Caenorhabditis elegans: one gene and its partner. The protein of the gene in region 1 interacts with the protein of each later gene in a biochemical or structural test. Each region holds a gene or a part of one and is shown in the gene's direction. Other genes may lie near its edges.

Region 1 (4,902 bases):
AGCCGTCTTCTGGATATATATGTATGTGGGTGTGTGTGTGTTATGGCTTTTCTTCGAACTTTTTATTTCACTCGGAAACTTTCAAGATTTGTCTTTTCTGATGCTTTTTAGGATTCCAGGAATTTTATTCGTTCGAACTAGTAAGTATGAAGTTAGAGTTCACAGCAAATTTTCATCAAAATTCGGAAAAAAACTGGTTTTTATATCGTAGCCCTACAAAAATAGAGAAATAAAAAAATCGAAGGGTCAGATTCACCAGTGTTATTTTTCGATAATTTGTCAGAAAAATTTGGGAATTAGAAACTTTACGAAGTCTAGTGAGTTGCAAATTTTTAAGAATCAAATTTGCTAATTTTCCTTCTTATTTTCGGATCAAATTTTCATTTCATATGAAATATTTCATAAAAAACAAAAAATCAGATTTTGTAGATAGAGCCCACAATGTAAAGGAACTACAACATCTGTAGAACCGGATCTGTTAGATTTTTTCTTCGAGTTTTACAAAATTTCAGACTTCCCAAGTTTTTTGTTTGAGTTTTGGCTCAGAAATTTCGAACATAAAACTTGGAGAATCAGATTCCCGGCTTTTAGAGAAAGTTCCGATTAGGGGCACCACAAATTGAGAAAACAAACATTCTGGAGAATCAGAGTTTCGATTTTTTGTTGCCAAAAACGACATCCTTGCTCCAACTGTCAGCATGCCAAACAACAGACACCCCTGTTGAAAATTTTAAATTCCAAATGAAACGGGGATGGGGTACATCGTAGTAATAGTAGTAGTTGGTTCTTAGGGGAGCACATCTCTGCTTCTTCTTCTTCGCAGCTTTTCGGTCTTCTGCGTCCGTTTGAGTGGTCAGTCAGATGTATGAGAGTGCGTTCCGTATCTCTCTGCGTCTCCACACCCTTGACCACTCTCTACGCCGTCGTGCTCTCTGTGTCTCGCCCGACTATCTCGAATAGAAAGTGACCACTGCTACATAATATTCGAATTCGCGGGGGGGGGGGGGTCTGTCTACTGCTGCTGCTGCTGGGTGGCCGTTTTCCTTGCCACACACTCTCTCGTCTCTCTTGCTCTTTGTGCATCTCATAGTTTGCTACTCGCGATCAGCTGTAGTCAACGTTCTCATATATACAGTATGCTTTTTGTTGAAAGTTTTGCCATATTGCCACGGCAAATTTTTTGGTACTTTAGTGGTTTTTTATTTCAAATCACCACGAACTTTTATAATTTTCCTCGATATTTGCATTTCCTCATTTTTTGCCAATGAAATTGTAAATTTTTCGCATTATTCTGTATGCTAGCACTTGTTTTCCAGCTTTACTTTACTCCCTTGTCCTCTCCCCGCCCCCAAAAGTACCAGAATAAGGTGTTTCCAAATTAGTTGTCCTTATCTTTCGAGGAGCCTCGTTTTAGAAAATGTGTACTTTTCTGCTCAATTCCCGGACACTTTTTCCGGGAATTCAGAAAAAGTCTGAACCACTACTAATTCTAATGTGATATTCTGAAGTTAGTCTTCATAATGATATATGCTAGCAATTTATATAACTAATTTTTCACATGGCGCACACATATCCTCATATCAGAACATATCAGAAGTTCTTGTTATTTTCCCGTTCCCCAAAAGTAACAGAGTAATAAAAAATTTCGAAATCCCGAGGGACGGTCCTTGGGGAGGTCGGGGTCATCACCCTCAACGTACATGGTACCGGGGGCCTGGTGGCGACAGGTAGTGAGGTCTCTCTTCTCAGTCCTGTTAGCACACACACAGTGGAGGGGTGCGTGCGCGCTCGCTCACTCGCCTACAGATCCGAGATGAATCGTAGACGCGTATTGAGGAAGACGGTGTTGGGTGGTGATGGTGTCGTGGGGAAGGGGGAAGGATGCGTACTATCTCTATATTTCTCGAGAACAAGAAGAAGATGATGACGATTCACTTTCCTTCTACTCGTCTCAGAAAGACACGGAGGACGAATTCTGCGGGTGCCTTTTCCCCGAGTAAATTTTCACATGTTTACAAAAAATGTTCATTATGAGCCTCTGTATTGCTTAAATTTGTCAATCATAAAATATTTTAAATAGGCAGTTCTCCTGAAAATAATACATTGAAAAATTTCGTTATTAAACCATTTTTGGTTTTTTTGTTGGAAATTTTTTTGTTGGCTTGATAAATTTGGCACAATTTCGTTTTCCGAGAGGAGAACAACTTTTATTTCCTTCTTCATCTATTTCCTCCTTTTTTTCAGAATTCTCTAGAAAAAAAACAAAAAAAAAAGAAGGCGTCCTCTCTCGTCATGAATGAATAACACTAGTTCCGCCTCACTTTTTCATGTTCTTTTTTCTTCTTTCTTTTTTCTTTCTTTTTTTCAAGTCCAGAAATTCCAGGATCAAGCAGTTCATCCGGCTGTAGTTCGTCATCTACAGAGCTCTACGATCTTGCAGCTGCACACGCCGCACTTATATCCCGACAGCAACAGATTCTCAGTCAGGGTGTGTTTTTGTGGAAAAATTAAAACAAATTGAGTTTTACATGTCCGGAAATGTGTGTCTCGCCACGAACTTTGTGGAATTCGTTGGGAGACCCTATTGTTTTTTTTAATAAGCTAAGAAATTGAGATTTTCGCTCATTCATGTGAAAAAAATAACGCTCGCTAATCTTTGTATTAGAATTAGAGTTGATTTGCTTTTATAATCCAGTTCAATTTGTCTACAAATTTTCTTTTTAAACAATTAAACTAGTTTGGAAAATGGATAATTAATTTTTAAACCTAACCGTTGAATTATTGATCGAAAAATGAAAATTAATTAAAAGTACTGTAAACTTTAAAGGAGCATACCTTTAGTTTCGTACTGGGTTCCACCACGATTCGAGAAATCATACATTTTATAATATTTTCTCGATTTTCGTGCCTAAGATATCTTTTTTTAATATTTAATTGAAACAAATTTTTTATTTTAAAATGTTCATTCTAACCGAAATTTCCAAACCCCATTGTTTGCTCCCGAAACACGAATTTTCAAATAGTTCAGTACTGTAAGATTTAAAGGCGCCCAAACTGTCTCTTGCAGTAGGTCTCGTCACGATCGGAGAAATTCTAAAAAAGTTTTTGTTTTTTCGTTTCGAATTTTTGTTTTTCTGCTCAATTTCTTCGCTTTGTTAGCTAAAAAATGTGTAAAATTTATCATTAAAAAAAACAAAGTTTCAACAATTTTCAGTACCTCTTCATATAATTCACATGAAATTGTCTAATTTTTAGCCAATTTCAGAGGATTTTCCGAAAAACTCAATAATTAATCAAGAATTGTTTCAGCAATCCCAATAATACCGGAACACCAGCTGGCCGCCGTCGCCGCTCACCATCAACATCACCAGCAGCTTCACCCATCGGTACAGTACCAGCTCGTCGCTGCCGCCACCCATCACAATCATCATCAGCCGCAAGCGGCACAACCACACTATTCAGCAGTTGTGCCACGATCTGACGGTTTGTTAAATAATGTTTTAAACGTTGAAAATTGTTTTTTTTTTCAATAAAAAAGTAATGTTTTTTTTAATTTTTCAGTAATACAACAACCACCACACTTTGCTCTGCACCACCATCTTCAGAATTTGGTTCAACAGCAGCAGCAACAGCAGGCTCACCATCATCATCAGCAATTAGTTGGTGAGTCGACCGATTTTTTTTCACGAAAACAAAAAATTAAAAAATAATTACCGAAAATCCGGAAAAAAACATTAAAAAATGAACGGAACAATTTCCCTTTTTTTAAAAGTTAACTTATGAAATTTTTGAAAGATAAAAAAAAATATTGGGAAAAATTTTCAAGCCTCAAAAATCTGGTTTTTAAAACTAAAAACTAATTTTAACAATAGTTTCAAATTTTTCTGTAAAAACCAAAATTCCCAACAAAATTTTTTTGAATCATGATATTTGTAAAAATCTATTTTCTTGATTTGTTAACAAACTTTCGAACCATTTCCCTTTTTGTTTACTTTTTAATATCTCAAAGTTCACGTGTAGTTCTGTTAGCCGGTCTTTACAAATTTAATCAGTTGCTGCCTGTCAAAGTGCACAAGTCCTTCTACTACTTTATTTTCCATCTCCTCTACCGTAATGTCCTTGTCTCCCCTGAATGACCTACAAAGAACACACTCCGCTCTTTCTAGAAAAGACTGCTTTCTCTGTTAAAGCACATGTTTTTTGTTGTTGTTACTCTCCGTCATCAGCTTCGGGGTGTTTTTTTTATTCTGGAATTCTTAGAATTTTCTCAGTTCACCGTGACTCACTTCTCAGAACTACTACGATTTTCTAACAGAAATCTGAAAGACATTTATTGCGAAATATGATGACTAAAAAAGAGATCAAGTTCGGCTTTTTTGAGCCATTTTTTCCGAATAAACCCGTTTTTTTTAATGTTCTGAATTTTCTATCATTTCCAAAAAAAAATATTGTGAAAAAAATTTTTATGATGCTCTTACTCTTTGCCATTTAAATTGGAACACTAATTGTCAATTTTTCAGACATTTTTCCGCGTAGAAATAAAAATTGGCCTATAAATTGTTCGTTTAACAATTAATTACTTGATAGAAAAACGATTCTTCCTTTTAATTTTTTTTTGAATAACGGAAAATTATATATAAAAAATGCCTATTTTCTTTTCTGAAATTTAGTATGAAAACCAGTTAAACACTACTTAGTTAATCTTTATTCGATATATCTTTATCAATCTGAAATTCACTAACGATTCATTTATGACGCTCAAACATGTGAACTCCGTTGATCACATACACACAAATTCACGTTATGACGAACATAACACTAGATATGTCGAAAAACGCATATACACAGATTATATTGCTAGTGACGCAATTTTTGAGTGAAATGGAAAAAAGGGAGATAATG
Region 2 (4,918 bases), on another chromosome or scaffold:
ACTATTCGAAATCGAAAAAAAAATCGATTTTATTCAGAAATTTATTAAAAAATTTTAAAAAAATACCGTACCCTTCAAGCAACGTGTACTCCTCTCGGAAAATTCGAATTAATTATTAATTTTTATTGATTTTCAACCAATTTCGCTACCAAAAAGGGTGTGTTCCCTCTAATTTAGGATAGTCTTTGCCATTTGTCTCCTTCCGTTTTCTCTTTTATCTGACTGGGGTCACATTCACAGTGAAAGGAGAATTAGAAAAAAGAAAAAAAGATGAAAACACGCTGTGTCTCTATCTCTCCGCCAATTCTCACGGTTTTCCCGGTGAGTTACAACGAAGAAAATGAACACTTCGATAAAAAATATATATTGACGCCCCGGGTTACCGATTACCGATGCCCACAAAAATCACTTCTTATCAATTTTTAAATGGTTTTTTTCAGGACAATCTGATTTTTATTTTTTCTCACTCAACCTCCACTCTCTTCAAGTTCCATGCTCTCTTTTAACCTCTTCTACAGCTATTATTGTCGGCCACCTGCGCACACACACAGGGCCTTCTCACACACCATTTAGCATGGGCGGCCCCTTGATGAGCGATGAAAGCGAGAGACGCAGAGAAATTGGTGTAGCGGGGGGCCATGGTGCACTACCGACAGCGCGCGCATACACCACCACCAACCGCCTCTTGTCTTCTTCCCCCCTTCTTCTCACGTCCCCCGGTCCGTCATTTATTTGAATTTTATGGATCCTTTTCGCCTCGTTTTCCTCGTTCCACTATCCTCCCTCCTACCTCCTGCTGGGTTCTACGTTTATTTGCATTTTATAATTGGAGGAACTTCTTCATTCGAACATTTTTCGCTTTTTTTTCCCGTCATTCTTTTTGAATTTTGTAGAGCGAGTAGCGGCCTAGTTTTCGGCTAGGCCATCTGTTGCCAATGACAGATGTGTTTTGTTCACCGTATCGATTCCTGCTCTTTAATTTAAAATTCCCGCGTTTCGGATTTATAAGCAAAAAAGTAATTTTCTACGTCAAAAATAGGTAATTTTAAGGTATTTAAAGTCTGATCGTGGTGTCACCCATGCCAAAAAACATGGCATGCGCCTTTAAAGACTACGGTATATTTACAAAAATGTCGAAAAATGCGAATTTTAAACAAATTTAAAGATTTTTGATGATTTTCTCCTTTTTGTTCGGAATTCCCTTGTTTAAAATTTATGATTTTATTTTTAAAAACTCAAATTACAAATTAATAAGCCGAAAAATATTGTTATTCGCGGTGGTACCCACATTGAAATACATGGCACGCGCCTTTAAAGGTTACGGTAGACAAAAATACTTGAAAATTTAATTTTGAACAAATTTCGAAGTTTTCGATCAATTTCTAGATATTTCACATCGAAATTTCCTCGTTTCAAATTATTTTTTCAACGAAACAGCTCAAATTCGACATTTTTAAGCAAAGAAAAGTAATTTTGTTCGAAATTCGTGTCGAGACCCACACCAAAATAAGCGGCATGCGCCTTTAAAAGTTACGGTGGACAAAAGTATTTTTTAAATTAAAATTAAAACAAATTTCACCGTTTTTGCTGATTTTTCTTGAGTTTTTCATCTAAAATTTCGATTTTGTCGTCAAAATTTATCTCTAATTCAATAAAAATTCAACATTTTCCAATTTTAGAAGTCTAAACCTCCACTTTCTCCCCAAAATCCTATCGAATTCAAATTTCCCGCGTCTTTCCCCTCTCCATGGCCTAACTTCCGCGGACCTAGTCCCCCTTTTTTCTTGTTTTAAATGGTTCCGTGCTTCTTTTCCCTCCATTTTTCCGTCAATTTCCCATTAAAATCGTTAAAAAATGCTCTAAATTTCCAGATATAAAAATACACAAAAATGATGGCCGACGAAGAGCTCGGCGATGAGGTGAAGGTGTTCCGTCGGGATGAGGATGCTGACGATGATCCAATGATTAGTGGTGAAACGTCAGAACAACAGTTAGCCGATGATAAAAAAGAAGCTGTAATGGAAGCAGAATTAGACGGTGCCGGTCGAAATCCATCGATTGATGGTGAGTTTTCCAATAAATTTGATCGAAAGGGGAAGGTGGCCAGCTATCACACAAAATTTTATGGACCACCTCAATTGCCTTTCGACTTTATTACACAAAAAAAATATTTGAAAATTCTTCTAAATTTCTAAATTTCTGCAGGAAAAAGGGACATTAAATATTAAAAAAATACATATAAATTTAAATTTAAATAATTTAAATAAAAACTTTAAATGCTAAGACTGATCCCAAAAAAAGAGAAAAAAATCATTAAATTTGAAAAAAAAACCTTATTTAAATTCCCGCATTTTTTGTCTAAACTCCGCCCATAGAACCGTGCCGCACTTTGTTTTTTTTTCAAATTCAGCGTAAATCCATATTTTGGGGGTTTTTTTTCAGTTTTTAAATGGAGAAAAAGGTTTTAAAAATCGCCGAAAAATTCATTAAAAGCTAGAAAAACAACCCAAAAATTGGACTTTACGTTGAAATTAAAAAGTGCAAAAGTGCGGCACGGTTTTATGGGCGGAGTTCAAAATCGAGACAAAAGCGCGGGAATTTAAATTAATTAAAAATCGCTAAAATATTTTTTTTTGACAAATTTGAGTATTTTCAGTGTTATTTTGAATTTCAACCAATTTTAAAGCGATTTTTCGCCATTTTTTATATTTTAAAGTATTTCTAACACTTTATAAATGAAATTTACTCATTTTTAACCAATTTTTTTTCCGGTTTTCACTATTTTCTATTAAAAAAATCCATGCTAATTTCAAAACACCCCTAAGAATTGACCTGATGGTCCCGGGCCTTACGCAATGACATAATGACGTAAAAGGATGTTACGCAACGGTGTTCGAACACCATCTGCGTCTCTCCGAATCCCATACTATCTCGGTCCGTTATCTTGTGTGCTAATCCGTCGTGAGTACTTGAACAAGTTGGTCCGTCTGTGTGTGCTCAATAGACTGTATAGGGGTGCGAAAGGATTAAGAATTGGATAATATTCAAAATTGATCTGAGAAATTTGAACTTGGCGCCAAAAATTGACCTTTTTTGAGATCTGTGAATGGAAAAATCTAAAAAATTATGTATTTCAGGCCTTTAGAGGTGCTAGAAATTCCTTTTAAAATTTTACGAAAAATCGCTTTAAAATCGAATTTTCAATTGAAAAATCTAAAAAATGAGAGGTTTTGAACTCGGATATCACTATAAAAGTTGAATTTTAAAATATTTTTAACTGAAAATTGTGAAAATTTGCGAAAAATCGCTTTCAAAAATCGAAATTTTGAAGGAAAAATGAGATAATTAACCCTATAAAATTGAGTTTTGAAGAATTTTAACTAAAAATTGTGAAAATTACCGAAAAATCTCTTTAAAATCGGAGTTTTCATGAAAAAATCTGGAAAAATGAAATCTTTAACCCTATAAAATTGGATTTTAAAGAATTTTGACTAAAAATTGTGAAATTTGCCAAAAAATCGGTTGAAAATCAAAAATTTGGCTCTTTTTTAACCATTCTAACCGAATAATTATCAAATTTTCAGTGTTAAAAAGTGCATTTCCAAAAGTCGAACCAATGTCACCATCGTTTCCCGGTTTAATGTCACACTTCAGTCCTGGATACTCGGCAGCTGCTTTACCCATGTTTATGCCTCTATTTATGGTGATTTTTTACTTGGAAAATTGAAAAAATTTGAATTAAAACACATAAAAATTGGCGAAAATCGACAAAAATCGACTTAAAATTGTATTTTAGAGTTAACAAGTTAAATACTTCTGAACGAAAAATTACCGAAATTGGCAAAAAATCGGCTTTAATTGGAAGTTTTCACTGAAAAATCTGAAAACAAAGGTGAATATTAGGCCTCGAATATGTTATAAATACCTTATAAAGTTGAAATTTCAAGATTTCCCCCAAAAATCGACGAAAAATCGCTTTAAAATCCTTTTTATGACAATTCCCCCTATTTTATTAGAAAAATTATGTAGTCTAGGCATTAGAAATACTTTTAAAAGTTGCAATTTCAATATTTTGCCCAGAAATTGCCTAAGAAATGGGAAAAATTATGTATTTTGAATTTTTAAAGGGTTCGAGAGCCTCTATATTTTTGGAATTTAAGAATTTACACCAAAAATTATTTAAAAAAAGCGAAAAAACACCCTAAAATCGAAAGCTTTATTGAAAAATATGGAAAATTGTGTATTTTTGAGCTTATTCTTCAATTTGAATCAAAAATCGTCGAAATTTGCAAAAAATTGCTTTAAAATCCTATTAAAAATCATTTTTCCAACAATTTCTTCCCCAAAAAAGCAGAAATTCCAAAAAAAAAAAATTCAAATTTTTACCCAATTTCAAGAATTTTTAGGGCTTTTCTCCATTTTTGTAGAAAAAAAACCGTATTAATTTTTTATTCTTCCTACAATTTTCTTCCCCAAAAAGCAGAAATAATACAAAATTTCCACTAAAAAACTGAATTTATTGTCTTCCAAATCCAAAAATTCTTGGCTTTCCGCCATGGGGTTCTGGCCTTCCTCATTGAATTTTTCGCGCTCCATTGACAATCGCCCGCCGGACTGGGATAGTCGTGTACTCCACACGGACAAGTGCATTTAGTTTTACAACTAAAATCGAGCCGCGACGCGACACGCAACGCGCCGTAAATCTACTGAGCCAAAATGACCTAGTTCGGCAAAAACTCTTCCATTTCATTTTATGAGGGAAGCCAAAAATTCGTGAGAAATTCTACAAAATTTTCACCGAAAAACTGAATCTATTATCTTCTGAATCCAAAAACTCGTTGCATTTCCTCGAAAACAGTTTTTTCTTCTTTTTTGTTGGAGAAGCCTCATTAACTCCCAAAAAATTGCGTGTTTTTTG

What was found.
Region 2: of the proteins of lit-1 (region 1) and pop-1, one has a biochemical effect on the other in vitro, tested with the Caenorhabditis elegans proteins (4 studies listed by BioGRID).

Annotation. Positions count from the first base shown.
Region 1 is NC_003281.10:13,712,189-13,717,090, forward strand, and holds the start of lit-1 (Serine/threonine kinase NLK), read left to right. Parts: upstream 1-1,856; coding exon 1,857-1,996; intron 1,997-2,369; coding exon 2,370-2,488; intron 2,489-3,309; coding exon 3,310-3,483; intron 3,484-3,561; coding exon 3,562-3,663; intron 3,664-4,902. UniProt on the Caenorhabditis elegans protein: Has a role in the Wnt signaling pathway controlling the asymmetry of cell divisions during embryogenesis. Operates in the AB and EMS cell lineages influencing cell specification.
Region 2 is NC_003279.8:2,827,265-2,832,182, reverse strand, and holds the start of pop-1 (Protein pop-1), read left to right. Parts: upstream 1-1,871; 5' UTR 1,872-1,889; coding exon 1,890-2,064; intron 2,065-3,584; coding exon 3,585-3,703; intron 3,704-4,918. UniProt on the Caenorhabditis elegans protein: Transcription factor. Part of the Wnt signaling asymmetry pathway. Binds to the consensus sequence, 5'-(C/T)TTTG(A/T)(A/T)(G/C)-3'.